Anolis sagrei: one gene and its partners. The protein of the gene in region 2 purifies or fractionates together with the protein of the main gene of each other region. This does not show direct contact. Links are inferred from orthologs where the notes say so. Each region holds a gene or a part of one and is shown on either strand. Other genes may lie near its edges. The genes, in order: RCAN1, PPP3CC and RCAN3.

Region 1 (10,530 bases), on a different chromosome or scaffold from region 2:
AATATAAGCTCAAATTGGGACTATACAATCAGTACTCAATCCTGTACATGCCTACTTTAGAGTAATACCCAATGGAATTAAGATACCTAACTTCTAAGAAGCCACACTTAAGCAATAAGACACAATAACCATTTAACAATTACCTGACAAAATGGCAATGAAGACACTGAGTATGGTTTTTATATAAGAACGTTTAACTTTAAAAGTGCGTGGCTCCATGCCAATAAATATCAGTAAAAGAAATTCATGTATAAAAACTGGGTTTCCAAAAATAGATTAAGCCCCAAAATACGTAGACCAAGGATTATATATGGATGCTTCTCACATGTTGCTATAGCAGTCCGGGCACATAATTCTTCCTGGCTGTTGTTCCTAAATACAGGTGTTTCTTGTAAAAAGGACTCTTGCTGTTAGAACCCTAACTACAGTGCTCCTGAATGCGCCCAGCCTAAATCTAGAACAGAAACCATGTAGCACCAGCACAATACAGTAATCATGCTTGGAGTTGTTACTAAAAATAGCTGAGCTACAGCATGCAAAGGGGCGGGTCTGTTCAAGGGTCTGTTCAGGGCTTGCTAATTAGCCCCTTAAGGGATCTTTATAGTACTATATGTTTAAATTGATACCCTACATTTTGCTGCAGGTCCCTGCATCTTAAAATTAAATCCATCATTATCCATAATGATACTCTTGTACTGAATAGCCTTGATGAAAATAGATGCTCAATCCTACTCCATATAGTTCCTGGCAAAATTTGCTGTTTTGCGGTGGATTAATCTTATGGCTGCAACACTAGAAGCATAGCACAGCTTTGCCAAAGAACACTGAATCATGACAGTTAAAGAGGTGTATAAAACTGCATTAATTCTACAGTGTAGATCAGTATCTTCTGGTCCCCTTAAGCATGATTTGTTGCTATGGGGTGTTATGTACATCAGTGTTTCTCAAACTCTGCTTCTCCAGGTGATTTGGATTCAGCTCCCACAATTTCTAACAGCTGGTAAGCTTTCTGAGAGCTGAAGTCCACAACACCTGGAGGAGCAGAGGTTGAGAAACACTGGTGTAGATACACCCCATAGCAACAGATCATGCTTAAGGGGGCCAGAATAACTATTGTAGCCCAACAAATTTGCACAGTAGAAACATGCAGGGATGCTTTTTTCAGCCAATCCTGGATCAGAACTAAGGGAGCATGCATGCAAAATTTTACCCTTACATCTTTCCTCAGATAACACAGATGTCTCTCAGGAAGGAGTCTAATTTTCCACAGAACATTTCTTCTATTCCTTCACTGCACATTATGCCTACCAGCCATGCGGTAAAATAACATGTGCCATGTGGCACCCATAAGAACATATACACCATACCATGAGCTATAATAAATTTATGCAAACTGTTATGCATTTATTATATAAGGAGAATTGTCAGTATAATACCCTGCAGGTGTGTTATATCATGAGGCCACATGCTGGGTAGGACACATTCTGCGCCCTTTCTCACCTTTCAAAATAGCATACCCAAAGAAAAGAAGCTGGTATCTTGAAAACTTGCATAATTTTTGATGGGATTGGCTTAAAAGGGTTTCAGTGCTACATAGACTAGCCAGAACACGTATTTAAAAGGACAGAATATGAGTAGCCATGAAACATATCACAACACATACTAGGACACAGAGCAATAGTCTCAAACTGCAGGAAAGGAGATTCCACCTAAACATTAGGGGAGGGAGGGTGGGTGGGGTTTGGGAGAGGAGATAAGAGTTCTAAAGGCCATTTTAATGTATTAGCTGTATTTTCATTCTGTCTTTACCACACTATTATTTAATTGTTTTTTATTTTTTGTATTTCTCTTTTTTAACTCTTTAGTGTGGATAGATCAGGCCTGGGCAAACTTGGGCCCTCCAGGTGTTTTGGACTTAACTCTCACAATTCCTACTGGCTGTTAGGAATTGTGGGAGCTGAAGTCCAAAATACCCAGAGGGCCCAAGTTTGCCCATCCCTGGGATAGATGTTAGCTGCCTCGAGTCCCTATGGGGAGAAAGGCAGGAAATATAAATCAAAATAAGTAGTAGTAGTAGAACTTCCTGATGGTAAGAGTTGGTCATCAGTGGAATAGGTTGCCATGGAGTATCGTGGGACCGCCTTCTCTGGAGACTTTTAAGCAGAGCCTGGATAGCTGGGAGTGCTCTGCCTGGGTCTCCCTGCATGGTTGAGGATTGGACTAGATGGCCTTTGGGGTCTCTTCCAACTCTAGGGTTCTGTTGGTCCCAAGTATTGGTAGTAGGTGACTGAATGACCACAACAGTGAGCATAAAATGGCTGGCTAAAGGAGCAAGGGGGCTGCAGTGGTGATTTTAATGTTTAGCTGTGGTTAGTGTCCAGTAGCACAATGAAAGGAATAGTTACTGTGATGTGACTTGAAGATAAAGGCATGGTCTTGCAAATTTGGGCCTTCTAGGTGGTTTGGACTTCAGCTCCCACAATTCTTACCAGCTGTTAGGAATTGTGGGAGTTGGAGTCCAAAACACCCGGAGGGCCCAAGTTTGCCCATGCCAGGGATAGATGTTAGCTGCCTCAAGTCCCCAAGGGGAGAAAGGTGGGAAATATAAATAAAGGTAATAATAATAATAGGAAGAAGCCACTGATGGTAAGAGCCGTTCGTCAGTGGAATAAGCTGCCTTGGAACATGGTAGGACCTCCTTCTCTAGTGACTTTTAAGCAGAGGCTGGATACCATCTGCCGGAGGTGCTTTAACTGGGACTCCCTGCATGGCTGTTTATTTGTTTGTTTTTTTGGTCGTGTCAGGAGCAACATGAGAAACTGCAAGTCGCTTCTGGTGTGAGAAAATTGGCCGTCTGCAAAGATGTTGCCCAGAGGATGCCTGGATGTTTTGATGTTTTTACCATCCTTGTGGGAGGCTTCTCTCGTGTCCCTGTATGTGGAGCTGGAGCTGATAGAGGGAGCTCATCTGCACTCTCCCCGGATTCAAACCTGTGACCTATCAGTCTTCAGTCCTGCCAGCACAAGGGTTTAACCCACTGCGCCACCGGGGGCTCCTGCATGGCTGATAATTGGACTAGATGGCCCTTAGGGTCTCTTCCAACTCTAGAGTTCTATTGGTCCCAAGTATTTGTGGCAGTTGACTAAATGACCACAACAGTGCGCATAAAATGACTGGCTAAAAGAGTGAGGGATCTGCAGTGGTGATTATCACAGAATCATAGTGTTGGAAGAGACCTGGTGGGCCATTCAGCCCAACCCCCTACCAAGAAGCAGGAAGAATTAAACAGAGGCCCTCCAGCCTCTTTTTAAAAGCCTCCAGGGGAGGGGCCCCCACCACACTCTGGGGCAGAGAGTTCCACTACTGAACAGCTCATTTGAATGTTTTGTTAGCTGTGTCCTGGAAATCCTGCAGACCAGTACCACAGTGAAAGGCATAGTCACTGTGATGTGCCTTGAGGGTAATGGCATGCTCTTGCTCAGGCAAACTTGGGCCCTCCAGGTGGGTTGGGCTTCAACTCCCACCATTCCTAACCGCCTCAGGCCCCTTCCTTTTCCCCCTCAGCCGCTTAAGCGGCTGAGGGGGGAAAGGAAAGGGCCTGAGGCGGTTAGGAATGGTGGGAGTTGAAGCCCAACCCACCTGGAGGGCCCAAGTTTGCCAGAGAAGCGCCTCTGCAGCATGAATGCCAAGGTGGGGCAGGCGGGCCTTGGGGGTCTCACCCTGCTGGGTCCGTCGGGGAAGAAGACCGCCAGCGGTAGGTTGCAGGCGATGAGGGCGGCGGGCAGGTCCTGCAGCGACATCGCCGTCTCCATGTCGACGAAGGTCCAGTCCAGAGGCTCCTCCGCGGCCTTGGCCTCTCCCGCCGCCGCCGCCGCCGCCTCCTGGCCTCCTCCTCCTCCTCCTCCTCCTCCTCCTGACGCCGCTCCTTCTTCCTCCCTCTCGCGCCGCCTCTCGAGCCCCTCCATGCCGGGCTGAAGGGGAGGAGCCGGGGGTGGTACCTCAAAGAGAGACACACACAGAGAGAGCGAGGCCTCGCCGCCCCCAGGGCTTCGGCTTTTTAACCCTATCCCATCGACGCCGAGGCGGGAAGGGAGGCCGCAGGCTCTTGGGGCGAGCCAATCACGCCGCTCGACGGGCCCTTCAACAGGTGACCCAACTCGAAGGGGCCCGGCTCCGCCTCCGCCTCCTCCTCCTCCTCTCCTGCCGCCATCTTGGATGAGGGCACCGTGCGTTCGCCCCGCACTGACGCCTACTCCGCCAATCAGAGTGCTCCGTTTCGCCTTCAACCGGTGTCCTGCCTAGAAGTGTCCCGACTCCACCTCCGCCATCTTGGGTGAGGGCACCTCCAGCTTGTGTTGCCTTACTGAGGTCTCCACCGCCGGCCGTTTTCCCCCCTTCTTGGCCCTTTGAAGAGACGCTTTCGGGAGATGTACCTTCAAGGTTGCTTTAATACTGGCCCCATCTACATTGCTTTATGAGGCAGTTTATTACTGGGCTGTTGTGAGTTTGTATGGCCATGTCCCAGAAGCATTCTCTCCTGAGATTTCACCTACATCTATAGCAAGCATCCTCAGAGGTTATTACTGGGTTGCTGTGAGTTTTCCAGGCTGTATGGCCATGTTCCAGAAGCATTCTCTCCTGAGATTTCACCTACATCTATAGCAAGCATCCTCAGAGGTTGTGAGGTCTGTTGGAAACTAGGCAAGTAAGGTTCATATATCTGTGGAATGCCCAGGGTGGGAGAAAGAACTCTTGTTTGTTTGAGGCAAGTGTGAATATTGCAATTGGTCACCTTGGTTAGCATTTAGTAGCCTTTTAGCTTCAAAGCCTGGCTGGTTGCTGCCTGGGGGATCCTTTGTGGGGAGGCATTAGCTGGCCCTGATTGATTCTTGATTGGAATTCCCCTGTTTTTTTACACTTCCATTTACACTTGCCTCAAACAGACAAGAGTTCTTTCTCCCACCCTGGACATTATTCCACAGATATATAAACCTCACTTGCTTAGTTTCCAGCAGATCTCACAACCTCTGAGGATTACTGTCATAGATGTGGGCAAAACATCAGGAGAGAATGCTTCTGGAGCATGGCCATATAGCCTGGACTATGATGCTATAAACCCTGGAATAGATTAGAATATTTAAAAAAACTGTTCTAAAAGAAAAACATATTTTAAATAGGTGATCAAACACCGCCACCGAGTGGTTACTAAGGAAATACACACATGGAAATAATTTCTCCCAAGATTTTGTTCCCTATCAACTAATGGAAGTACTTTCAAAGTAGGCATCCATTAGGGAAAAAAATGTTCCTCAAGTAGATTCTACTTCCTACACCAGGATAAATACTTGCAGAAACACCTCAGCAAGCAAGAGTCCAAAAGTGGCTGATACCACTGGTACAATGGGTTAAACCTCAGTGCTGACCAATAGGACAGCAGTTTGAATACGGGGAGAACGGGTTGAGTTCCCTCTGTCAGCTCCAGCTCCCCATGCTGGGACATGAGAAAAGCCTTCCACAGGATGGTAAAACATCTAGGCGTCCCCTGGGCAACGTCCTTGCAAACGGCCGATTCTCTCGAACCAGAAGTGACTTGCAGTTCCTCAAGTCGCTCCTGACATGAAAAAAAAATTCAGATGAGAGACCCTCCTGGACACACAGAAGACTGGGTGACTTGGAAGTTACAGAGCAGACAGAGCTCTGGCACCACGAGATGCAGAGCCAACCTTAAGAAATGGGGTTACAAAGTGGAGTCCACGACATGTGATTGTGGCAAAGATCAAACCACAATGCAGCCTGAGCCCTGCTACATGCACAATGAAAGACCTTTTTATAGCAACACCAGAGGCACTCCAAGTGGCCAGCTACTGGTCAAAGGGTATTTAATAGAATGCCAAGTTTGTAACTTTGTTTGTGGTTTTTCTACACATTATAACTGTATTATCAATTTTCTTTTGACACAATAAATAAATAACCAAGATAAATATGTGAGCAATGCATATAGCACTCTTTTCAGTTGGGATGCCTTTACGCCAGTGGTTCCCAACCTTTGGTCCTCCAGTTATTTTGGACTTAAGCTCCTAGAAATCTCAGCCAGTTTACCAGCTGTTAGGAATTTGTGGGAGCTGAAGTCCAAAACAACTGGAGGATCAAAGGTTGGGAACCACTGCTTTACACAGTACAACAGATACCAGGGCCTATAATACTATAGAAGTAAAGTAAGTGATGACAGGCCCTTTTTCTTTGTATCTGATTTCCTACATCAAATACTCTGAAGAACTTAAGAACGGAAAAACTGATGCTATTGTCTAGATGGCCCATTATGTGTATTGTGTTATATGGAGGAAATGGCATCTAAATAGCTGTCTGGTAAGCAGAAGAGTGTGAAAGAGTCCTCGCCCATTTCCATTCTTCTTTATCTGATCTCCTTATTTATGCTGTGTCCTGCTGAACTTTCCACCTTTCTTTCTAATATTTGAACCAAGATGCAATCAACCCTTGTAACTTCTGCTTCCCCCTTCCTTTCTTCTCTACATCCTATTTATCTTGTGGAAAGAAAGGGTCCTTTTCTCTACCATTTACCTTGCTAATCTGACACCGAATTGGGAATTAATGAGTTACAAGCAAAGTAGTTACTTCTGCTTACTCTGTGAGTAACAATGATGCATTGAAGTTATATTCAAAAGTACTACACCTGGGAATCACATTACCTTTATTGGTGTAGCGGTTAATGTTTTATAGTCATGATTTAAGATTATTTCTCAAAAGGATTTTTCTAGGCATTTTACTGGAATTACCTTTTCTTTTACACCATTCTTTCCCTTCCAGTAAGGAAAACTAAGAAACAGAAAAAGAGGTTTATTTTTAAAATTATGTTTTGTGCTGGTCAGTTTTGTATTGTATTATATAAAGATGAGTTCTGGCAAGATATTACTTTTGGAATACTAAACAAAAAACAACACAACAAGCAATGCCAATAAGCTGTTTTTAAAACATTACTTTCCATATTCTCTTCTGATACAAGGAAGCTGTTCTAGCTTACTACTTCATCACATTAGAGAAAAAATCCACTTAAAATCCAGTTTCTGCCTCTTGCAGAATTTTGGGGCTTGTAATTTTGGGAGGAGTCTTTAACAGCTTTACTAAACTACAAACCCCAGAATTCTACAGGAGGCAGAAACTGGATTTTAAATGGATTTTTTCTCTAGTGTGACAATTAGTCTAGGGGCCCTTCCGCACAGCCCTACATCCCAGTATATCAAGGCAGAAAATCCCACAATAACTGCTTTGAACTGTGTTATCTGAGTCCATACTTGGATAATGTGGGATTTTCTGCCTTGATATTCTGGGATATAGGACTGTGTGGAAGGACCCTAGGTACACAAAAGATGATGGGGAAATTGGGGGATCTCAGAATCAGAATTCCAAGTCCAAGAACAATTTTTCTTGGACTTGGAATAGGAACAATAATAGTTCCTATTATTATTGTGGTTTTGTGCCCTCGATTTTTTTTGTACCCATAGAAACCCTAAAGTGAAATTCTCACTGGGCTTTCTTGGAAGGAATTGTTCAGAAGAAGCATACCATTGCCTTCCCCTTAGGTTGAGAGAATGTGACTTCTATGAAGTCACACACTCGGCACTACCTTTGCTTATTAAGCCTTTGAATGAGACAGTGTATGGTTTATTCTTTTTGCTTTGTTTTTCAGTATTTTTATGTAGCATTGTGTTATTGTTGTTACCCCACTCCAGCGGCATTTGCTGGACAGTCAAAATAGAACTGTAACAAATCTATTAGGTGAAACCTGGTGGATGGGTCTCATGATTAGAATGTGATCATAGAGGGATATAATCTATTTTGGGAAAAAAGAGCAAACAGGAAAGGAGGAGGCATAGCATTCTTTTGGTCAAAGATTTTCACACCTGTGAAGAGCCTCATGACCTAATTCCTGGAAGTCAAGTTGAGAGGATCTGGGTAGAAATTAAAGGAGAAAGAAACAACAGGGATGTAATTGTGAGGAGGTCTACTATAATATAAATAAAGTTTTACTCCTACTACTATTACTATACAGACCTCCAAGTCAAACTGAGAACTTGAATAGTCTGGAGAAGGAAAGATTCAAAGGTGACATGATAGACATATTTAAATATTTGCAGAATGTCATATTGCAAATGGATCCAGCTTGTTTTCACCTTCTCTAGAGACCAGAATAGAGAGTAATGGTTTCAAATATAAGAAAAGAGATCCTACCTAAACATAAAAAGAATGTTGGTAGTAAGAGCTGTTTGACAGTGGAATTATGCTGCTTTGGAGCATGGTGGAGTCTCCATCTCTGAGGTTTTTAAAAAGAGGCTGTGTGGCCATCTGTCATGAGTCCTATGATTGATCCTATGTTTTATGAAATAACTTGATTATGCTGCAGCTTAACTGGGAGTTTTGAGATCCCGTCACCAGCAAAAAAGAAAAAAAAGCATTTTCTCTTCAGGTATGCAAATACAAAACCTCTTGAAATCCTTGTCAGTAATTGTAAAGCCATTTAAATCACCATGTTAAGAGCCTAGAATAATCAGTGTGCTTAAAATGTTTTGGTGGTGCTTGCTAATTTTTCTTCATGCTGCTCCTTCAGGCCACCTCCACTTTCTGCTCATGCAAATACTTTTCTTTCATTTCATGAAGCAAACTCATTCTCAGCAGGAGAATTTAAGCAGCTGGGAAGGGAGCTGATTGCCCCTAATCAGCTTACTGCGGGGGAGCTGAGAACATTGTACACAGATGGCATCCTTTCCCCCCCATTTTAAATTTTTCCCTTGCTACATACTTTTTTGTAAAAGAGATTCCAACCTCAATCATTGGGCCAAATGAGGCACAAACTAACCATACCATAATGAAATGCACCACTGAAACAGTCTAAATTTATAAGGTTTGTACACAGGGCTTGATCTAGAACTAATTCATAAAAGGATCCTAAGGCATGATAACTCAGAATTCAGATATCTCTTCTCTTACATGGCCACAGAAGGTCTTTACCAACTTGTCATTTTAGCTCACTCAAGGCATTGATTCACCAAGCTTGTGATCCACAAGTGAGTAAAAAGTTGGAGATATCCCATTCCACATCTCAGGGCTTGTCTGCAAGAGCTTAATAGCCCACTCTCATTGTATAGTCACTCTTGGCTATCTTTATAATGGCAGAAAATGACAGATAATGACAGAAAAGTCAGGGATGTTTCCGAGTTTGGCTGAAACTCTGGAGCAGCCCCATGGCTTTGACTTAGTGTGGACAGTAGGGCTGGGCGGTTTCGTTTCGTAATTTCGTAATTTGTTAAAAATTCGTTATTTTTTTTATAACGAAGCGATAACGAACCATTCAGGAGCAACTTAAAAATGAAACGAATTTTTAAATTCGTTTCGTAATTGTTTCGTTATCGTTTTGTATTCTTTCGTTATCGTTTTGAAATCGTTTCGTTATTATTTCCGCATGTCTGGGGCAAGTTTTATAGTTGTTGTTTGTTTAATCAGTGAAAAAAAATTATAAATATCACACCAACAGTCAACAACAGAGGGAGAGAGAAGCTTCAGAAGTTCCCCCTGTCCCATTTGGCGTATTGCGCGGTCGTGTCCGCCATTAACGAATCGATTCGTAATTGTTTCATAATTGTTTCGTATTGTTTTGTAATTTTACGAAATTTCGTAAATATCGAACTTTTTAAAAGAAAAATTTCGGAATTCTTTTAAAAATCGAAACGCAAAAACCCCCAAAAACGAATCGATTTTAGAAACAAATTTTTCTGTTGTTACCCAGGCCTAGTGGACAGCAGGGCCTGCTCCAACAAGGATCAGTCTTCTGTCCATATGGTGCACTGACTCCCTCTCCTTTTCTCTGCAGTCATTAGTGCATAAAAAAGGTATGGATTGGGCCCATGTCACTGCTACCACCACTGCCAGACAGTCACAGAACTCCATGTGAGTTTCTGCTATCACTGTGCCCTGTGCTGACATAAAAAGGCACCTGTGTGACCAGACTAAAAGAGAGGGATCACTCTCCCCTCTTCTTCTTTGTCACGCAGACACCTCTGCTGACATCAGCACAAGGCGTCTGTGATGACCAGGTAGGTGCCCCTGCGATATTCTGTGCAGTGGCAACATGGATGTGAAGATTCAGCAAGGCTAAAGTGATTTTGATTTGGGTGGACTATTTGGACTTCATCCTGCCACCTGGATTACATGGCTTGTTTAGATGCATTCTAGTCTCAATGTACTTTGTTATGCTTTGTGGAGGTTAATTTCTGTCTGGCATATCGCTGTCTGTGAACTCAAATTCAAAGCAAATGTTAAAAACAGTTGTTATTTCAATGGTATATAGTTTTTTATGCCATGGACTGACTTCCATGTTGAAGTATTAAATGCAAGATGTACTGTCTGTATTTGTGTCCAAAGACAAGCTAAACTACATTAGATAGATAGGTACCCTTGATCACTCATGAAGGAAAGGTATCTGAACATAAAAAATGTTCTTAAGTGTCTTATGATAAT
Region 2 (9,710 bases):
TGAAGGGATAATGTGATCTTCTCATTTCATCTAAATAGCTGCTAAATAACTACTTAAATCAATGCCACTCAAACTAAATCAAGGGCCCTATTCCATCATATTAAATCCCATATGTAGGTTGGACATCTCTTATCCAGAATTCTGAAATAATAAAAAATGTACCAAAATTCTCAACACAGGTGGTTGAGATGGTGACACTTTTGCTTTCTGGTAGCTCAATGCACATAAAAGTTGTCTCATGCCCAAAATATTACATAAAATTGCCTTCAGGGTATGTGTGTACTGAGGAAACATAAATTATAATATCATGTTTAAACCTGGGTCCTATCTTTAAGGTATCCCATGATGTCTGTATATGAAAATATAGGTATCCCAAAATAAAAAAAATCCAATATGCTCCAGCTCCCAAGTATTTCAAATAAGAGATACTCAACCTGTAATGCAGCAGATGGGTAAGCTTTCCTATCTCACTCAAAGTGACTCACGCCCATTTTATGGTGCAACCGATTATGAGTTTGTTTTGAATGGGTCAGATAATGAGAGATCTTTGACCCAAGTCTGAACTCAAAAATCATTTATATTTACATTTCATATAATAAATAACAACATTATTTGTTTCCTTCAACTCCCCATAGTTGAGTTGGACACAAAACAGTTAAAACATCCAGATAAAATATAGTATAAAACAAATATCAAAATACATAGTACACAGATTAAAATATAATACTAATATTTTACTGTTTTCAGTGTTGTTATCTGCTTTAAGTCTCCTTCTAGGGAGATAGAAGGTGAATACAAAGAAATGCAATAGTATTAATGCAATGTAACATTAAAATTGATTATTTAAAACTGACTGGATAGGCCTGCTGGAAGAGATAGGACTTTAATTGTGTTTTAAAATCCCACAGGTCATCTACACCTGATACACATTCCACCTGAACCACCTGAAAGCTTGTTGGAGATAGTATTTTAAGGATGTTGTGCATGAAACTTAACATTGAGCCCATTGAACCGCCTAAAAGCTATTTGGATAAAATGTTTCTAACAAAGTTGTGCATGAAATTTAACATTGAGCAAACGGAACCACCTAAAAGCCACTTGGATATAACATTTCTAACAATGTTGTGTATGAAACTTTACACTGGGCACATTGAACCACCTAAAAGCGATTTGGATGTAATATTTTTAACAATGCTGTGGATAAAACTTTACATTGGGCACATTGAACCACCAGTGACACCAGAGGCACTGGAAGTGGCTCCCTTCTAGTCAAAGGGAATGTAGTATAATGCCAAGTTTTTAGCTTTGTTTGTGGTTTTTCTATACATTTTAACTGTACTCTCAATTCACTTCTGACATAAATAAAACCACCAGAAAGCTATTTGGATATAATATTTCTACCAATGTTGTGCATGAAATTTAACATTGGGTACACTGAACCACCTGGAAGCTGATTAGATATATTTCTACCAACGTTGCGCATAATATAGGGTACACTGAACCACCTGGAAGCTATTCAGATATAACATTTCTAACAGCATTGTGCATGAAACTACACATTGGGCACATCGAACCACCTGAAAGCTATTTGGATATAATATTTCTAACAATATTGTGCATGAAACTTAACACTGGGTACAGTGAACCACCTGAAAGCTATTATTCTACCAATGTTGTGCATTAAACTTAACATTGGGCACATTGAACCACCTGGAAGCTAATTAGATATATTTCTACCAATGTTGCGCATAATATTGGGTACACTGAACCACCTGCAAGGTATCTAGATAGAATATTTCTAACAATATTATGCATGAAACTTTGAGTTGAGCATGAAACTTCACAATGGGTATGTTGAACCACCTGAAAGGTATTTAGATAGAATATTTCTAACAATGTTGTGCTTGAAGCTTCTCATTGGATACACTGAACCACCTGAAAGCTGTTATTCTACCAATATTATGCATAAAACATAACATTGGGCACAGTGAACCACCTGGAAGCTAATGAGAAATAACATTTCTAACAATATTGTGCATGACATTTCACATTGAACCACCTGAAAACTATTTGGATATAATGTTTCTAACAATATTGTGCATAAAACTTCAAAATGGGCACAATGAACCACCTGAAAGCTATTTGGATATAATATTTCTACCAGTGTTGTGCTTGAAGCTTAACATTGAGTACACTGAACCACCTGAAAGCTGTGATTCTACCAATATTATGCATAAAACATAACATTGGGCATACTGAACCACCTGGAAGCTAATTAGATATAATAATGTTGTGAAAGGAACTTCACATTAGGCACTTTGAACTGCCTGAAAGCTATTATTCTACCAATGTTTTGAATGAAACGTCCCACTGAGCACATTGAGCTGCTTGAAACCTATTTGGACATAATATTTCTACCAATGTTGTGCTTGAAGCCTAACATTGGGTACACTGAACCACCTGAAAGCTGTTATTCTACCAATGCTGTACATGGAACTTCACATTGGGAACATTGAACTGCCTGAAAGCTATTTGGATATGTTTCTAACAATATTGTGCTTGAAGCTTCACATTGGGCACATTGAACCAGTACAAAGCTATTTGGATATAATATTTCTACCAGTGTTGTGCTTGAAGCTTAACATTGCATACACTGAACCACCTGAAAGCTATGATTCTACCAATGCTGTGCATGAAACTTCACATTGGGCACATTGAACTGCCTGAAAGTTAATTAGATATAATATTTCTATCAATGTTGTGAAAGGAACTTCACATTGGGCTCATTGGAATGCCTGAAAGCTATTAGTCTACCAATGTTTTGCATGAAGCTTCACATTGGGCACATTAAAACAGCAAAAAGCTATTTGGATAGAATACTTCTACCAATATTGTGCATGAAACTTCACATTGGGCACATTGAACCACCTGGAAGCTAATTAGATATAATATTTCTAACAACGTTGTGCACGAAGCTTCACATTGGGCACACTGAACCACCTGGAAGCTAATTAGATATAATATTTCTACCAATGTTGTGAAAGGAACTTCACATTGGGCTCATTGGAATGCCTGAAAGCTATTAGTCTACCAATGTTTTGCATGAAGCTTCACATTGGGCACATTGAACCACCTGAAAGGTATTTGTCGAGCATGAAACTTCACATTGGGCACATTGAATCAGCAAAAAGCCATTTGGATATAATATTTCTAACAATATTGTGCATGAAGCTTCACAATGGACACATTGAACCACCTGGAAGCTAATTAGATATAATATTTCTAACAATGTTGTGCACGAAGCTTCACATTGGGCACACTGAACCACCTGGAAGCCAATTAGATATAATATTTCTACCAATGTTGTGAAAGGAACTTCACATTGGGCTCATTGGAATGCCTGAAAGCTATTAGTCTACCAATGTTTTGCATGAAGCTTCACATTGGGCACATTAAAACAGCAAAAAGCTATTTGGATAGAATACTTCTACCAATATTGTGCATGAAACTTCACATTGGGCACATTGAACCACCTGGAAGCTAATTAGATATAATATTTCTAACAACGTTGTGCACGAAGCTTCACATTGGGCACACTGAACCACCTGGAAGCTAATTAGATATAATATTTCTACCAATGTTGTGAAAGGAACTTCACATTGGGCTCATTGGAATGCCTGAAAGCTATTAGTCTACCAATGTTTTGCATGAAGCTTCACATTGGGCACATTGAACCACCTGAAAGGTATTTGTTGAGCATGAAACTTCACATTGGGCACACTGAACCACCTGAAAGCTGTCATTCTACCCATGTTGTGCCTGAAACTTCACACTGGGCACACTGAACCTCCTGAAGGGGATTTGGAGGTAACATTCTCCCCGTGTTGTGCACGGAGCGAAGCCTGTATCCCCTGAGCCCCCAGCCAGCCCCATGTGAGGCATGTTGGGGGTCTTTCAGGGCGGTGCGGCCCCTCCCCCCTCCTCCCTCCCTCCGTGGCAACGTGCTGGGGGCCTTCTTTCTCCTCAGAAGGGGGGGTCTGGCGTGGGAATGTACCCCCCTCCCCCCCCTTGAGGGTCCTTCTCCATAGCGACGGCGAGGCCTTCCCCTGCTGCCAGGGAAGGAGGCCCGAGCGAGGCCCTCCCTCCTCCTCCTCCTCCTCCTCCTCCTCCTCCTGCCGGCCTGGCGGAAGTGGCCCCACCCGCCCGAGGGAGCCCCCCAGGCTCACCCTTGACGATGCGCTCCGTCGTGGACAGCTTCCCGCTCAAGTTGCGCCCGGACATGTTCCCTCCGCCGGTCCGGCCGGCTCCTGCCTCCCCTCAGGAGGGACCGGGGATCTCTCTCTCTCTCTCTTGAGGAGGAGGAGGCCGAGGCGGCGCTGGAAGTGGCGGCGCGACAACTGGGGAATCCTCTCAGCGCCCTCTCGCTCTCTCTCTCTCCACCGCGCATGCGCCGGCGTCGCTCCTCTTCCCACTTGGAGCTGTCAAGGCTTCCGTTCCCGCTCAACGCGCATGCGCAACACAACTCACTCCCGCCTGCCTTCCTTCCTCACCCCACAGGCTTTTAACACAGCCGCGCATGCGCTGAGAGAGGCCTTTTCTTCGAAGAGCGCGCGTTCTGATTGGTCGACGTCACGCGAAAGGGGAGGGGGAAGAGAAGAGGAGAGAACGAGCAAGCCGAAGCTCCCCCAGGTCACGTGACCCCGCCCTCCTCTCAGCGCCCTCTCTCCACCGCGCATGCGCCGGCGTCGCTCCTCTTCCCACTTGCAGCTGTCAAGGCTTCCGTGCCCGCTCAACGCGCATGCGCAACACGACCCCTTCCCTCCCGCCTCCCTTCCTCACCCGACAGGCTTTTAACACAGCCGCGCATGCGCAGGGAGAGGCCTTTTCCTCCGAAGAGCGCGCGTTCTGATTGGTCGACGTCACGGGAAAGGGGAGGGAGGGGGAGGAAAGCCGAGGCTCCCCTAGGTCACGTGACCCCGCCAGGTCCCGCCAACGCGCATGCGCAACACAACTCCCTCCCGCCTGTCTGCCTTCCTTCTTCACCCCACAGGCTTCTAACACTGTCGCGCATGCGCAGGGAGAGGCCTTTTCCTCCGAAGAGCGCGCGTTCTGATTGGTCGACGTCACGGGAAAGGGGAGGGAGGGGGAGGAAAGCCGAGGCTCCCCCAGGTCACGTGACCCCGCTCTCCTCCTCCTCCTCCTTCATTCCGCCATTTTGAAAAGTAATTGGAGTTGCTAGGAAACGCAGCTGGGCCGTCGAAGGCTTTCCTGAAAGGCCGGAATCACGGCGTGGCCGTAGGTTTTCCGGGCTGTCTGGCCACGTTCCAGGAGCATTCTCTCCTGACGTTTCGCCTGCATCTGTGGCAGGCACCCTCAGAGGTTGTGACTCCTGTGGAAACTTAAGAAAAGGGGGTTTCTGTACCTGTGGAATGATATCCAGGGTGGGAGAAAGAAAGAAAGACCTCTTGTCTGTTGGAGGCAATGTTACAATAGGCCACCTTGACTAGCATTGAATGGCATAGCAGTTTCGAAGCCTGGCTTCATACTGCCTGGGGGAATCCTTTGTTGGGAGGTGATTAGCTGGCCCTGATTGTTTCTTATAGAATCCTAGAGTTGGAAGAGACCTCCTGGGCCATCATCCAGTGCCACCTCATTCCGCCATGAAGCAGGAATATTGCATTCAAAGCACCCCTGACAGATGGCCATCCAGCCCCTGTTTCAAAGCTTCCAAAGAATGATGTCCCGGGTGGGAGAAAGAAAGAACTCTTGTCTGTTGGAGGCAATGTTACAATTGGCCACCTTGATTAGCATTGAATGGCAAAGCAGTTTCAAAGTCTGGCTTCATGCTGCCTGGGAGAATCCTTTGTTGGGAGGTGATTAGCTGGCCCTGATTATTTCTTATAGAATCCTAGAATCCTAGAGTTGGAAGAGACCTCCTGGGCCATCCTCCAGTCCAACCCCATTCCGCCAAGAAGCAGGAATATTGCACTCAAATCACCCCTGACAGATGGCCATCCAGCCTGTTTCAAAGCTTCCAAAGAATGATGTCCCGGGTGGGAGAAAGAAAGACCTCTTGTCTGTTGGAGGCAATGTTACAATTGGCCGCCTTGATTAGCATTGAATGGCAAAGCAGTTTCAAAGTCTGGCTTGGAGGAATCCTTTGTTGAGAGGTGATTAGCTGGCCCTGGTTGTTTCTTATAGAATCCTAGAGTTGGAAGAGACCTCCTGGGCCATCATCCCGTACAACCCCATTCTGCCAAGAAGCAGGAATATTGCCTTCAAAGCACCCCCGACAGATGGCCAGCCAGCCCCTGTTTCAAAGCTTCCAAAGAATGATGCCCTGGGTGGGAGAAAGAAAGTACTCTTCCCTGTTTGAGGAAATGATACAATTGGCCACCTTGATTAGCATTGAATGGCATAGCAGTTTCAAAGTCTGGCTTCATTCTGCCTGGGGGAATCCTTTGTTGGAAGGTGATTAGCTGCCCCTGATTGTTTCTTGTCTGGAGTTCTCCTGCTTTTGATTGTTGTTCTTTATTTATTATTATTATTATTATTATTATTATTGTTATTAACTTTATTTGTACCCCGCTAGCATCTCCCGCAGGACTCGATGCGGCTTACAAAGGCCAAGGCCTCAACACAACAACAGCAAAACAATAACAATACAATTTAAAGCAAATTAAAACATAAGCAATAAGAAAAAAAATACATCAATTACTCAATAAAAACCAGGGCCGGGCCAGTGACGGGTACAGGTTAAAAAGTGCTGGGTGTGGCAGGTGGTATTTTGGATTTCCGGGCAAGTGCAGAGTGCAGAGAGTCTTAAACTCTAATAAAGTGCTTCTGGGACATAGTCTTGGGGGTTATCCTATTCCGGAAACGCACATCGGAATAGCCAGGTCTTCAAGTTCTTCATGAAGACTGCCAACGTGTTATGATTTTGGAGGTTTTTTTTAAAATAAAGGATTTTCCCCAGGCAGTAAGAAGCCAGACTTTGAAACTGCTAGGCCTCTGAGGAGCTTAGTTTTGAGATGGGGAGAGTTTGAAACTGAGGGCCCTTCCAGTCAGGCCCCTTCCACACAGCTGAATAAGATCCCACATCCATCTGCTTTGTTCTGGGACTCAGATAACCAGGCCGCTTTCACACAGCTGAGGAACATCCCACATTATCCGCTTTGAACTAGAATGTATTGGAGTGGGGACTCGAGTAACCCAGTTCAAAGCAGATGTTGTTATTCTGGGTTATAGGGCTGTGTGGAAGGGGTCCCAGAATATCAAGGCAGGTAACCCATAATATCTGCTTTGAACTAGGATATCTGAGTCCACACTGCCATATAACCCAGTTGTGGGATGTTTATTCTGGGTTATAGGGCTGTGTGGAAGGGGTCCCAGAATATCAAGGCAGGTAACCCACAATATCTGCTTTGAACTGGGATATCTGAGTCCACACTGCCATATAACCCAGTTGTGGGATTTTTATTCTGGGTTATAGGGCTGTGTGGAAGGGGTCCCAGAATATCAAGGCAGGTAACCCATAATATCTGCTTTGAACTGGGATATCTGAGTCCACACTGCCATATAACCCAGTTGTGGGATTTTTATTCTGGGTTATAGGGCTGTGTAGAAGGGGTCCCAGAATATCAAGGCAGGTAACCCACAATATCTGCTTTGAACTGGGATATCTGAGTCCACACTGCCATATAACCCAGTTGTGGGATTTTTATTCTGGGTGATAGGGCTGTGTGGAAGGGGTCCCAGAATATCAAGGCAGGTAACCCATAATATCTGCTTTGAACTGGGATGAGTCCACACTGCCATATAACCCAGTTGTGGGATTTTTATTCTGGGTGATAGGGCTGTGTGGAAGGGGTCCCAGAATATCAAGGCAGGTAACCCATAATATCTGCTTTGAACTGGGATGAGTCCACACTGCCATACAACCCAGTTGTGGGATTTTTATTCTGGGTGATAGGGCTGTGTGGAAGGGGTCCCAGAATATCAAGGCAGGTAACCCACAATATCTGCTTTGAACTGGGATATCTGAGTCCACACTGCCATCTTATTTACTTAGGTGATCCCTCGTTGTCTGAGTAGGAGAATCTTCCAGAGTGAATCTGTAGGTGACTGTGGAGCCCTCTTCCCTGCTCTGCATCTTCTCCCACAGTGAGGGCATTGGTTTCCAGGTGGAAGGCGGTCCCGGTGGGGGTTGGCTTGACACACCTTCCTCTTGGCACGTTTCTCTCTTTCACCCTCCATTTGTGCCTCTTCAAATTCTGCAGCACTGCTGGTCACAGCTGACCTCCAGCTGGAGCACTCAAGGGCCAGGGCTTCCCAGTTCTCAGTGTCTATGCCAGAGTTTTTGAGGTTGGCTTTGAGGCCATCTTTGAATCTCTTTTCCTGCCCACCAACATTCCATATTCCGCCCTTGAGTTTGGAGTAGAGCAACTGCTTTGGGAGACGGTGGTCAGGCATCCAGACAAGATGGCCGGTCCAGCGGAGTTGATGGCGGAGGACCATCGCTTCAATGCTGGTGGTCTTTGCTTCTTCTTCCAGCACGCTGACGTTTGTCCGCTTGTCTTCCCAAGAGATTTGCAGGATTTCTCAGAGGCAGTGCTGATGGAATCGTTCCAGGAGTATCATGTGACGTCTGTAGACAGTCCATGTCTCGCAGGCGTACAGCAGGGTTGGGAGGACAATAGCTTTATAAACAAGCCCCTTGGTATCCCTACGGATGTCCTGGTCCTCAAACACTCTCTGCTTCATTTGGAAAAATACTGCATTCGCAGAGCTCAGGCCATGTTGTATTTCAGCCTCAATGTTGACGTCTGTAGACAGTCCACGTTTCGCAGGCGTATAGCAGAGCTGGGAGGACAATGGCTTTATAAACAAGCCCCTTGGTCTCCCTATAGATGCCCCAGTCCTCAAACACTCTCAGCTTCATTTGGAAAAAAGCTGCACTCGCAAAGCTCAGGTGGTATTGTATTTCGGTGTCAATGTTGACTTTGGTGGAGAGGTGGCTGCCAAGGGAGCGAAAATGGTCAACGTTTTCTAATGTTACACCGTTAAGCTGGCATTGGAGAGGGATTGGCATTAAATGTTTGCCGTATATATGCTGTGCTCCGCCCTGAATCCCCTTCGGGGTGAGACGGGCGAAATATAAATGTTTTAAATAAATAAATAGTCGGGTGACTGCTGAAAGAGCACTTTGGTTTTCTCGATCTTTAATGACAGGCCGAGCTTCTCGCCATATAATCCAGTTCAAAGGAGATATTGTGGGATTTTTATTCTGGGTTATATGGCTATGTGGAAGGGGTCCCAGAATATCAAGGTAGATAACCCACAATATCTGCTTTGAATTGGGATATCATAGCATCCTAGAGTTGGAAGAGACCTAGCGGGGACGTGGTTTTAAAAAGGGAATTTTCAGAGATGTTTCCAATGCCTATAGATCATGATTTACTGCCAGATTGGCCTATTTCTGCACTACAAAAATGCTGGTTGTTTGAGAAATCAGTGCTCCAGAGAAGAAGTTACTATTCAAGGATAACAGTATATCCGGACAAAACCATCTAGCTGGTCTCTAGTTAGAACCCCCAAGTTTTGCAGTTCCTCTGAAGTCATGTTTGCAACAGACTATCAGATAATTAATAATAATAATTAATAATAATAATAAACTTTATTTATACCCCGCCACCATCTTCCCAAGGGGA
Region 3 (9,822 bases), on a different chromosome or scaffold from region 2:
GAGTCTTAAGTCTCAAGGGCAGCAGAAAAGAAGCTTGCTTAGGCCATCCTTTCACATGTCTCTCATCCTTCTCTCCTGCAGGCTAAATCAGGCATGAGTCAACTTCAGCCCTCCCACCAGATGTTCCAACAATTCCTAATAGCCTACCGGCTGCCGAAGGCTTTCATGACTGGAATCACTGGGTTGCTGTGAATTTTCTGGGCTATCTGGCCATGCTCCAGAAGCATTATCTCCTGTCGTTTTGCCACATCCATGACAACTATTCTCAGAGGTTGTGAGGTCTGTTGGAAACTAGGGAAATAGGGTTTATATATCTGTGGAATGATGTCCAGGGTGGGAGAAAGGATTCTTGTCTGCTTGAGACCGGTGTGAATGTTGCAATTGGCCACCTTGATAAGCATTTAATGGCCTTGCTCCTTCAAAGCCTGGCTGATTGCTGCCTGGGGGAATCCTTTGTTTGGAGGTGTTAGCTGGCACTGATTGATTCATGTCCTGGTCACCTCTAACCCAACCAACAATTGGGCCACATAGTTTATAGAAAACCTACACACACTGATAGATACCTACATAAAAACTCCAACCAAGAAGCACAATTAAAGCCCTGGCAGACTGTGGAAAAAGAATCTGGACAATTCACAAACAGGTTCCTGTTGGAGGTGCAAAACAAAGAAAGGGACTTTTTTCATGTATGGTGGTCTTGTGAACTGGTGCAGGTCTATTGGAAAAGAATAATAAAGGAAACAAATAAAATGATTCACAACAAAGTAAAAAAAACAACCCAGGGATGTGCCTATTAGGGATATTCAGAAATGCTTAGAACAACCAGAGAGAGAATTTTGTTTGTACAGCTTTGTGGCTGCAAGCATTACAATTGCCAAAGATTGGAAAGGGGAGAAAACATTAAGCATCAAAAATTGGAAGGATAAACTGTGGGATTATGCACAGATGGCTAAGATTTCTAGCAATTTGAAAAATGAAAATCATGAAATATTTGAAAGAAACTGGAAGTTGGCCTTAGCATATTTGACGGGAGAGCTAAAGAAATAAAAACAAGAGGAATTTATTGAATTAGAAGTATAGGGTTAAACAAGATGTGCATAAATCCTGCAGGGATCAGTGATGGAAACCAAGGTGGTGGGGAGCACTGGAGGTGGGTTGAGGGATAACTATACTGTGGGTGGCGGGTTGTCTACATATGTGTATGTGTTTGTGTATATTTCTGCAATATATATGGTTGGTGTATTATCTTTTTGAAATAAAAAATTAATTAAAAAAAAGAATCTGCGAAGCCCACCTCCTTCAAGGTGAACTGAACCACCTCAACTGGGCTCTAGAGGCCACCGACATCAGAAGAGCTGCAAGATCAAAAACAAGCCATGATAGTAAGGACAAAGATGCACCCAGAGGAAAAGTGTTCTTACCATGCATCAAGGGAACCACTGACCGCAGAGGGAAGCTGAGGAAGAAACACAACCTACAAACTATCTACATTAAGAAAATCCAACAAATGCTCTGTTCAGCAAAGGACAAGAGGGATCATTTCACTTCTGCAGGAGTCTATCGCATACTGTGCAGCTGTGGACAAGTCTACATTGTTGTTGTTCATTCCACGACTCTTTGTGACCTCATGAACCATCCCATGCCAGAGCTCCCTGTCGGCCATCACGTCCCCCAGCTCCTTCAGAGTCAAGCCAGTCACTTCAAGGATAACACGCATCCATCTTGGTCAGCCCCTCTTCCTTTTTCCTTCCATTTTCCCCAGATTGTCTTCTCTAAGCTTTCCTTTCTTCTCATGATGTGGCCAAAGTTCTTCATTTTTTCCTCTACTATTCTTCCCTCCAATGAGCAGTTGGGCTTTATTTCCTGAAGTATGGACTGGTTGGATCTTCTCATGATCCAAGGCACGAAGTCTACATAGGGACCCCCAAATGCAGCAGCAGCGCTGAAACACGAATCAAGGCACATGAAAGGCACTGCAGACTACTTCAACCAGAGAAGTCAGCCATAGCAGAGCAGGTGATGAACTAACCTGGACGCAACATATTATTTGAGAACACAGAAATGCTGGACCACACCAACAACCACCATGTCAGACGACACAGAGAAGCCATTGAAATCCACAAGAAGCATGTGGACAATTTCAACAGAAAGGAAGAAACCATGAAAATGAACAAAATCTGGCTCCCCAGTATTTTAAAAAACCTTCTAAAATAAGGACAATAAATAAAGCAAATAAAGGGGAATTCCTGACAGGAATCAATAAGAGCCAGCTAAAACTCCCAACAAAGGACTGCCCCAGGAGGAAGCAGCCAGGTTTTGAAGCTGCAAGGCCATTCATTGCTAATCAAGGTGATCAATTGCAACATTCACACTTGCCTCCAACAGTCAAGAGTTCTTCCTCTCACCTTGGATATCATTTCACATATATATAAACCCCTCCTACCTAGTTTCCAACAGACCTCACAAATTCTAAGGGTGCCTGCCATAGATGCGGAAAACTCACAGTAACCCAACCTATGTACTACCTGTTAGGAATTATGGGAGTTGTTGTCCTTGTGGACAACAAGTTAAACATGAGCCAACAATGTGATGTGGTGGCAAAAAAAGCCAATGGAATTTTGGCCTGCATCAATAGGAGCATAGTGTCTAGATCTAGGGAAGTAATGCTACCCCTCTATTCTGCTTTGGTTAGACCACACCTGGAATATTGTGTCCTATTCTGGGCACCACAATTCAAGAGAGATATTGACAAGCTGGAATGTGTCCAGAGGAGGGCGACTAAAATGATCAAGGGTCAGGAGAACAAGCCCTATGAGGAGCGGCTTAAAGAGCTGGGCATATTTAGCCTGAAGAAGAGAAGGATGAGAGGAGACATGATAGGCATGTATAAATATGTGAGAGGAAGCCACAGGGAGGAGGGAGCAAGCTTGTTTTCTGCTGCCCTGCAGACTAGGACATGGAACAATGGCTTCAAACAATAATCATAATAATCATAATTTATTTATACCCCGCTACCCCAAGGGACTCGGTGCGGCTTACATGAGGCCAAGCCCACAGTACATCAATAACAAAAGCAATAACAAAACAATCAAGCAATACAATTAATATAAATCACATAGACAACAAACAATAAACATGCAAACATTTAAAAACCAATGGCCGGGCCAAATGTAATAACTTTTAAATTTAAAAAGAACAAGGTAGGACATAACTGGTACAGGGTTTTCAAAAAGAGATGAGGGAACGCAGTCAGTCCTAAATCAGTGGTAAAGTGCATTTCGAGGACATATTGCTGAGAGTTTTCCGTATTCTGGGAAGACACACTGGAACAACCACATTTTCAGGCTCCTACTAAAGACTGCCAGAGTTGGGGCATGTCTGATGTCCTTGGGAAGTGAATTCCAGAGTTGGGGGGCTACCACTGAGAAGGCCCTCTCCCTCGTCCCCACCAGTGAAGGAGGTGGGAGCGTGAGCAGGGCCTTTCCAGATGATCGAAGAGATTGTGTGGGTTCGTACACATATTTTTTTGTCATGTCAGGAGTGACTCCTGGTGTGAGAGAATTGGCCATCTGCAAGGACGTTGCCCAGGGGACGCCTGGATGATTTGATGTTTTTTATCATCCTTGTGGGAGGCTTCCCTCATGTCCCCGCATGAGGAGCTGGAGTTGATAGAGGGAGCTCATCCGCCTCTCCCCGGATTCAAACCTGCGACCTGTCGGTCTTCAGTCCTGCCAGCACAGGGGTTTAACCCACTGCGCCACCGGGGGCTCCAGCTTCGTACACAGAAATGCGGTCACGCAGGTAGGCGGGTCCCAAAGCATTCAGGGCTTCGTAGGTAAGAACCTGCACCTTGAATTGGGACCTGAAAATGAACTGCAGCCAATGGAGCTCCTTAAACAGGAGGGTTGACTGCTCTCTGTAAGTCGCACCAGTTAGTAACCTGGCTGCTGCCTGTTGTACCAATTGAAATTTCCGGACCGTTTTCAAGGGCAGCCCCACATAGAGTGCATTACAGTAATCCAATCTGGAGGTGACTAAGGCAAGAAAGGAGATTCCATCTGAACATGAGGAAGAACTTCCTGACTGTGAGAGCCGTTCAGCAGTGGAACTCTCTGCCCCCGAGTGTGGTACAGGCTACTTTTTTGGAGGCTTTTAAACAGAGGCTGGATGGCCATCTGTCAGGGGTGCTTTGAGTGCAATTTTCCTGCTTCTTGGCAGGGGGTTGGACTGGATGGCCCATGAGGTTTCTTCCAACTCTAGGATTCTATGAATTCCAGAATCTATTCTATGATGGCCCCAGCTCTTTAAGATGCTCCTCATAGGGATTATTCATGGCCTTCAGACTGGGCTATCTAAAGGCCTTTCCACACAGCCATATAACCCAGAATATCAAGGCAGAAAAGTCCCACAATCCCTGCTTTGAAGGGGATTCTATGAGTACCCTCCCTCTCTTTCTCCCCCTCTCCCTCACTCACCGCCTCTCGGAAAGACTCACCGCGTCTGGGCAGCGCAAGCGCCTCACAACCGCGCACGCGCTGTGGCACGCGCCTGCTTCTCAACTCCCCGGCGCGCATGTGTGCGCATGCCCGCGCGTCTCTTTCCTCGCTCTCTCACTTTGGAAAGAAGAACCCGGATGGAGGCTTTTTTTTTCTTTTTCCACCTCCTGGGGAGGATGACGCCATCGTATCTTCTGCTCGCTATGATTGGTGGGTGGCGTCACGTGCTCAAGCTAAAGCCCGCCCCTCCCCTTTCCTGCAAGACAGGGAATGGGGCATCGGCCAACTTGGGTCTTCTTTTAAGATGTTTTGGATTTCGACTCCCACAATTCCTAACAGCTGGGGGCGAGACAACAGAAAGTGAGGCGAAATCTTCTGAACAGGGCCACAGACAGCAAAACAAACCCTTCCCTATCTATCTTATCTATCTATCTATCTATCTATCTATCTATCTATCAATGCTCTGTGCATAATGAGTATCTTAAAAACAAAAGAACCAATGAACGAAATCACACCACATTTGGCAACAAAACGTCTCACAACACAAGGAGTGACCATCACTCAAAAATTATGATTTTGTCGTATTGTCGAAGGCTTTCATGGCTGGAATCACTAGGTTCTTGTGGGTTTTTTCGGGCTATAGAGCCATGTTCTAGAGGCATTTCTCCTGACGTTTCGCCTGCATCTATGGCAAGCATCCTCAGAGGTAGTGAGGTCTGTTGGAATTAGGACAATGGGTTTATATATCTGTGGAATGGCTGGGTGGGGCAAGGAGCTCTTCCCTGCTGCAGTTAGGTGTGAATGTTTAGCTGATCACCTTCATTAGCATTTGAAGGCCTGCCTGAGCCTGGGAAAATCTGTTGCTGGGAGGTGTTAATCTGTGCCTGGTTTTTTCCTCTCTGTTGTTTAGCTGTTATAATTTTAGAGTTTTTTAGTACTGGTAGCCAGATTTTGTTCATTTTCATGGTCTCTTCCTTTCTGTTGAAATTGTCCACATGCTTGTGGATTTCAATGGCTTCTCTGTGTAGTCTGACATGGTGGTTGTTGGTGTGGTCCAGCATTTCTGTGTTCTCAAATAATATGCTGTGTCCAGGCTGGTTCATCAGCTGCTCTGCTATGGCTGACTTCTCTGGTTGAAGTAATCTGCAGTGCCTTTCATGTTCCTTGATGCGTGTCTGGACAATGCTGCGTTTGGTGGTCCCTATGTAGACTTGTCCACAGTTGCATGGTATACGGTAGACTCCTGCAGAGGTGAGAGGATCCCTCTTGTCCTTTGCTGAACGTAGCATTTGTTGGATTTTCTTGGTGGGTTTGTAGATTGTTTGTATGTTGTGTTTCCTCATCAGCTTCCCTATGCGGTCAGTGGTTCCCTTGATGTATGGCAGGAACACTTTTCCTCTGGGTGGATCTTTGTCTTGACTCTCGTGGCTTGTTCTTGGTCTTGCAGCTCTTCTGATGTCTGAGGTGGAGTATCCATTGGCCTGGAGAGCCCAGTTGAGGTGGTTCAGTTCATCTTGGAGGAGGTGGGGTTCGCAGATTCTTTTTGGACGGTCTGCCAAGGCTTTAATTTTGCTTCTTTTTTGACTTGGGTGATGGTTGGAGTTTTTATGTAGATATCTATCTGTGTGTGTGGGTTTTCTGTAGACGGTGTGACCCAATTGTTGATCTGGTTTGCGGATGACTAGGACATCTAGAAAAGGCAGTCTTCCTTCATTTTCTTTTTCCATGGTGAACTGGATGTTTGGGTGGATGCTGTTAAGATGGTCCAGGAACCTGTTGAGTTCTTCTTCTCCATGGCTCCAAATGGTGATGGTGTCATCCACATATCTGAACCATATCGTGGGCTTTTTGGTTGCTGTCTCCAGGGCTTGTTTTTCAAAGTGTTCCATGTAAAGATAGCTATGACCGGGCTGAGAGGGCTCCCCATAGCTACTCCATCTTTCTGTTCATAGAATTCATTGTCCCACTGAAAGTAACTGTTGGTGAGGCAATGGTGAAACAGAGCCGTGATGTCTTCTGGGAACCTCTGGTTGATGAGTGCCATGGTGTCTGCTACCGGGACCATGGTAGATAGAGATACCACATCGAAGCTGATCAGCTTGAGATTGCTGATTTTTTTTTTCTATGAAGTGGGCTGAGTCCTTGATGTAGTGTGTAGTGAGCCCAATATGGCTTTGTAACTGTGCAGCAAGAAATTTTGCTAGGTCGTATGTGGGGGATCCAATGGCACTCACGATGGGTTTGAGTGGGGTGAGTCAGTCCAGTCACTTCAAGGATGCCATCCATCCATCTTGCCCTTGGTCGGCCCCTCTTCCTTTTGCCTTCCACTTTCCCCAGCATAATTGTCTTCTCTAGGCTTTCCTGTCTCCTCATGATGTGGCCAAAGTACTTCAACTTTGTCTCTAGTATCCTTCCCTCCAATGAGAATGATGTCAAGCACCCCCCCCCAAAAAAATAAGGGATAGTGACTTGTAGTTCTGCAAAGGGCAAGGGCACCAGACTACACAACAAGGGTTAAGTCTTGGTCACATTGCCAAGGCACTGACAACAACAAGGATCCCACGAGGCTTTTGGGAAATGGCTGGATCTTGCGACTTCTGCCCTTTGTGAGAGTTGTAGTTTCCCAAGGAACAAAAGCATGAATCAGTTGCAGCACAGCTGGGGTTTCATCTGCCAGTCTTCCCAATGATCATTGGACTCTCTGCCTGCCTGTTTTGGACTTGAGTACATACTATCTCCCTCATGAACTTTCCTCAAAGACCTTTTAAAACATTGGACTTCAGACTTCTTCATGAAAATTAATCCTTTTATTAAATATACTTGGGATGTGGGACAAAGATGGGGTTTTTGTTGCTATGAAATGCTTATGATTTGAATGTATGTATGTATCTTGCTATGAAACATTGCTTGTCTTACCCTTTAACTTTGCCCTACTAAAACTATGAAGCAAAAGACTGAATCGTGCACAGCTGCCCCGAGGGGTCATTTGCCCCACAATGGAACTCATATTTGCTCATCCCTTGCATGGACAATAGTTCAGGAAGTTTCTTCATTTGTCTTCGGAGCATGGCCAACAAGTGATATTCTTCCTCCGGTCAGAAACTAATTTACCAAGGACAATAAGGGTGAGACTGCCCATCAGGGGGTCCTGTGCCCAACCCTGATCATATCACTCGAAACTCTTCACTGAACTCAGCTAATCCGGCACTGACAGGAAAAGTCAGATTGGTTCAATCACCCACCCATTGACTCAAACAATAACTGTCTTCACTGCTGGCCCGACTTTGCCCCGGACGCAGGAAGATTCTTGGTCAAGATTGTCATAATCCTTCCCCTCCATTGTCATTTCTTCATCCCGCCTCCTCGCTCCTGATTCGCTAGCCCCTCGAAGCGGCCGGACGATCCTGATTGGTCCGCCCGAAGCGAGGGAGCTCGGTGATTGGCTGAGCGCGGGGGAGGTTCGGCAAGCCTCCTCCCAGCTGTTCGGCCATCCACCAATCACTGACAAGCCAGGTGGGGAAGGCGGGCGGGAATTTCAAATTTGCGAAACTGTACTTTTGCTATAAAAATGCTTCCTGGTCTCTGTATGCTTATGCTTGTGGTGGAATTATCCCTGCAATGCATCCAATTGCAGCTGAATCGCTAATAAACACCTCGGTCGCTGAACTTCTTCCGCTTTGGTAAGGTATTATTATTTTTAATATTTTAACAGCTGGAATTGGCTTCGCTGGCCTCACCAAGGTTTCCAGGACTCTCTTTGGTGCGGTCCTCAAGGATTTCCCCCGGCTGGGGAAACCCTCCTAAAAACAGCTCGATATCAAGCAGTCGGGCTTTATTTCCTGGAGGATGGACTGGTTGGATCTTCTCGCAGTCCAAGGCACTCTCAGAACTTTCCTCCAACACCACAGCTCAAAAGCATCGATCTTCCTTCGCTCAGCCTTCCCTAAGGTCCAGCTCTCACATCCGTAGGTTACTACAGGGAATACCATGGCTTTGACTATGCGGATCTTTGTTGCCAGTCTGATGTCTCTACTCTTTACTATTTTATCGAGACTGGACATTGCTCTCCTCCCAAGAAGGAAGCGTCTTCTGATTTCCTGGCCACAGTCTGCATCTGCAGTAATCTTTGCGCCTAGAAATACAAAGTCTGTCACGGCCTCCACATTTTCTCCCTCTATTTCCCAGTTGTCAATCATTCTTGTTGCCATAATCTTGGTTTTTTTTTTTATGTTTAGCTGCAACCCGGCTTTTGCGCTTTCTTCTTTCACCTTGATTAGAAGGCTCCTCAGCTCCTCCTCACTTTCGGCCATCAGAGTGGTGTCATCTGCATATTTGAGGTTGTTAATGTTTCTTCCAGCAATTTTCACCCCAGCTTTGCATTCACCAAGCCCCGAACATCGCATGATTTATAGTTCACCTATAATCAAAGAGTGTTCTGAACCCCATCATCGACAGAATGGGGCCAAACTTCCCACACAGAACGCCCATGACCAACGGAAAATACTCAAGGCCATCCAGAAGCCTGAAGAAGATAATTTTGTTCTTGAAACAAGGACACAAAAGCACCCGGGGAACCTTGTTGTGGACTCCCGAGTTGGCTGAAAGCAACACGAACTGTTTCCAGTTTTGATACTCTCAAGTTTGTGGAATACAATGTGAACTTTTGTTGTAAGATCATGGACATATTCTCAAATGTACTAAACACAATGTGAACTGCCTTTAAGTTTGATATATTCATTGATGTATATGTCCTATGAAATTATGTTGTAAACCGTATATATTTTGTGTGTTTCACTATTGAAGTTACTTAAACTTGTACCTATGTTGAAGCTTATTTAAATAGGACAATTGCTTATTTACAACTGATTTATAGGTATCTGTGTTATTAGAGCAGTGGGTTAAAGCCCTGTGCTGGCAGAACTGAAGACCGACAGGTCGCAGGTTTGAATCCGGGGAGAGGCGAATGAGCGAATGAGCTCCCTCTATCAGCTCCAGCTCCTCATGCGGGGACATGAGAGAAGCCTTCCTCAAGGATGATAAAACATCAAATCATCTGGGCGTTCCCTGGGCAACATCCTTGCAGACGGCCAATTCTCTCACAACAGGAGCGACTTGCAGTTTCTCAGGTCGCTCCTGACACGACAAAAAAAAAAATTATTATTGTGGCCAAATACTGATGTTTTCCAAAGCAAGGTGCAATGTGCTTCCGTCTGAATTGCTGCGTGGAAGATTTGCAGGTACCCCATATAATGAAAGACTCTGCCCATGTAACAAACAGGAAGTAGAATGCATTTACTACATTCTACTGTCTTGCAGTTTCTGTGAA

The links.
Region 1: the proteins of PPP3CC (region 2) and RCAN1 purify together in Homo sapiens (affinity purification with mass spectrometry; 3 studies listed by BioGRID and IntAct, counting the BioPlex papers as one, with this or other methods). This does not show direct contact. The link is inferred for Anolis sagrei from reciprocal best matches to the Homo sapiens genes PPP3CC and RCAN1.
Region 3: the proteins of PPP3CC (region 2) and RCAN3 purify together in Homo sapiens (affinity purification with mass spectrometry; 3 studies listed by BioGRID and IntAct, counting the BioPlex papers as one, with this or other methods). This does not show direct contact. The link is inferred for Anolis sagrei from reciprocal best matches to the Homo sapiens genes PPP3CC and RCAN3.

What each region holds. Positions count from the first base shown.
Region 1 is NC_090023.1:70,561,165-70,571,694, forward strand, and holds the start of RCAN1 (calcipressin-1), read right to left. Parts: upstream 4,252-10,530; 5' UTR 3,966-4,251; coding exon 3,720-3,965; intron 1-3,719. UniProt on the Homo sapiens protein: Inhibits calcineurin-dependent transcriptional responses by binding to the catalytic domain of calcineurin A. Could play a role during central nervous system development.
Region 2 is NC_090027.1:1,199,604-1,209,313, forward strand, and holds the start of PPP3CC (serine/threonine-protein phosphatase 2B catalytic subunit gamma isoform), read right to left. Parts: upstream 4,530-9,710; 5' UTR 4,282-4,529; coding exon 4,227-4,281; intron 1-4,226. UniProt on the Homo sapiens protein: Calcium-dependent, calmodulin-stimulated protein phosphatase which plays an essential role in the transduction of intracellular Ca(2+)-mediated signals. Dephosphorylates and activates transcription factor NFATC1.
Region 3 is NC_090034.1:77,019,239-77,029,060, forward strand, and holds the start of RCAN3 (calcipressin-3), read right to left. Parts: upstream 4,564-9,822; 5' UTR 4,496-4,563; exon of another isoform or gene 4,476-4,495; intron 1-4,475.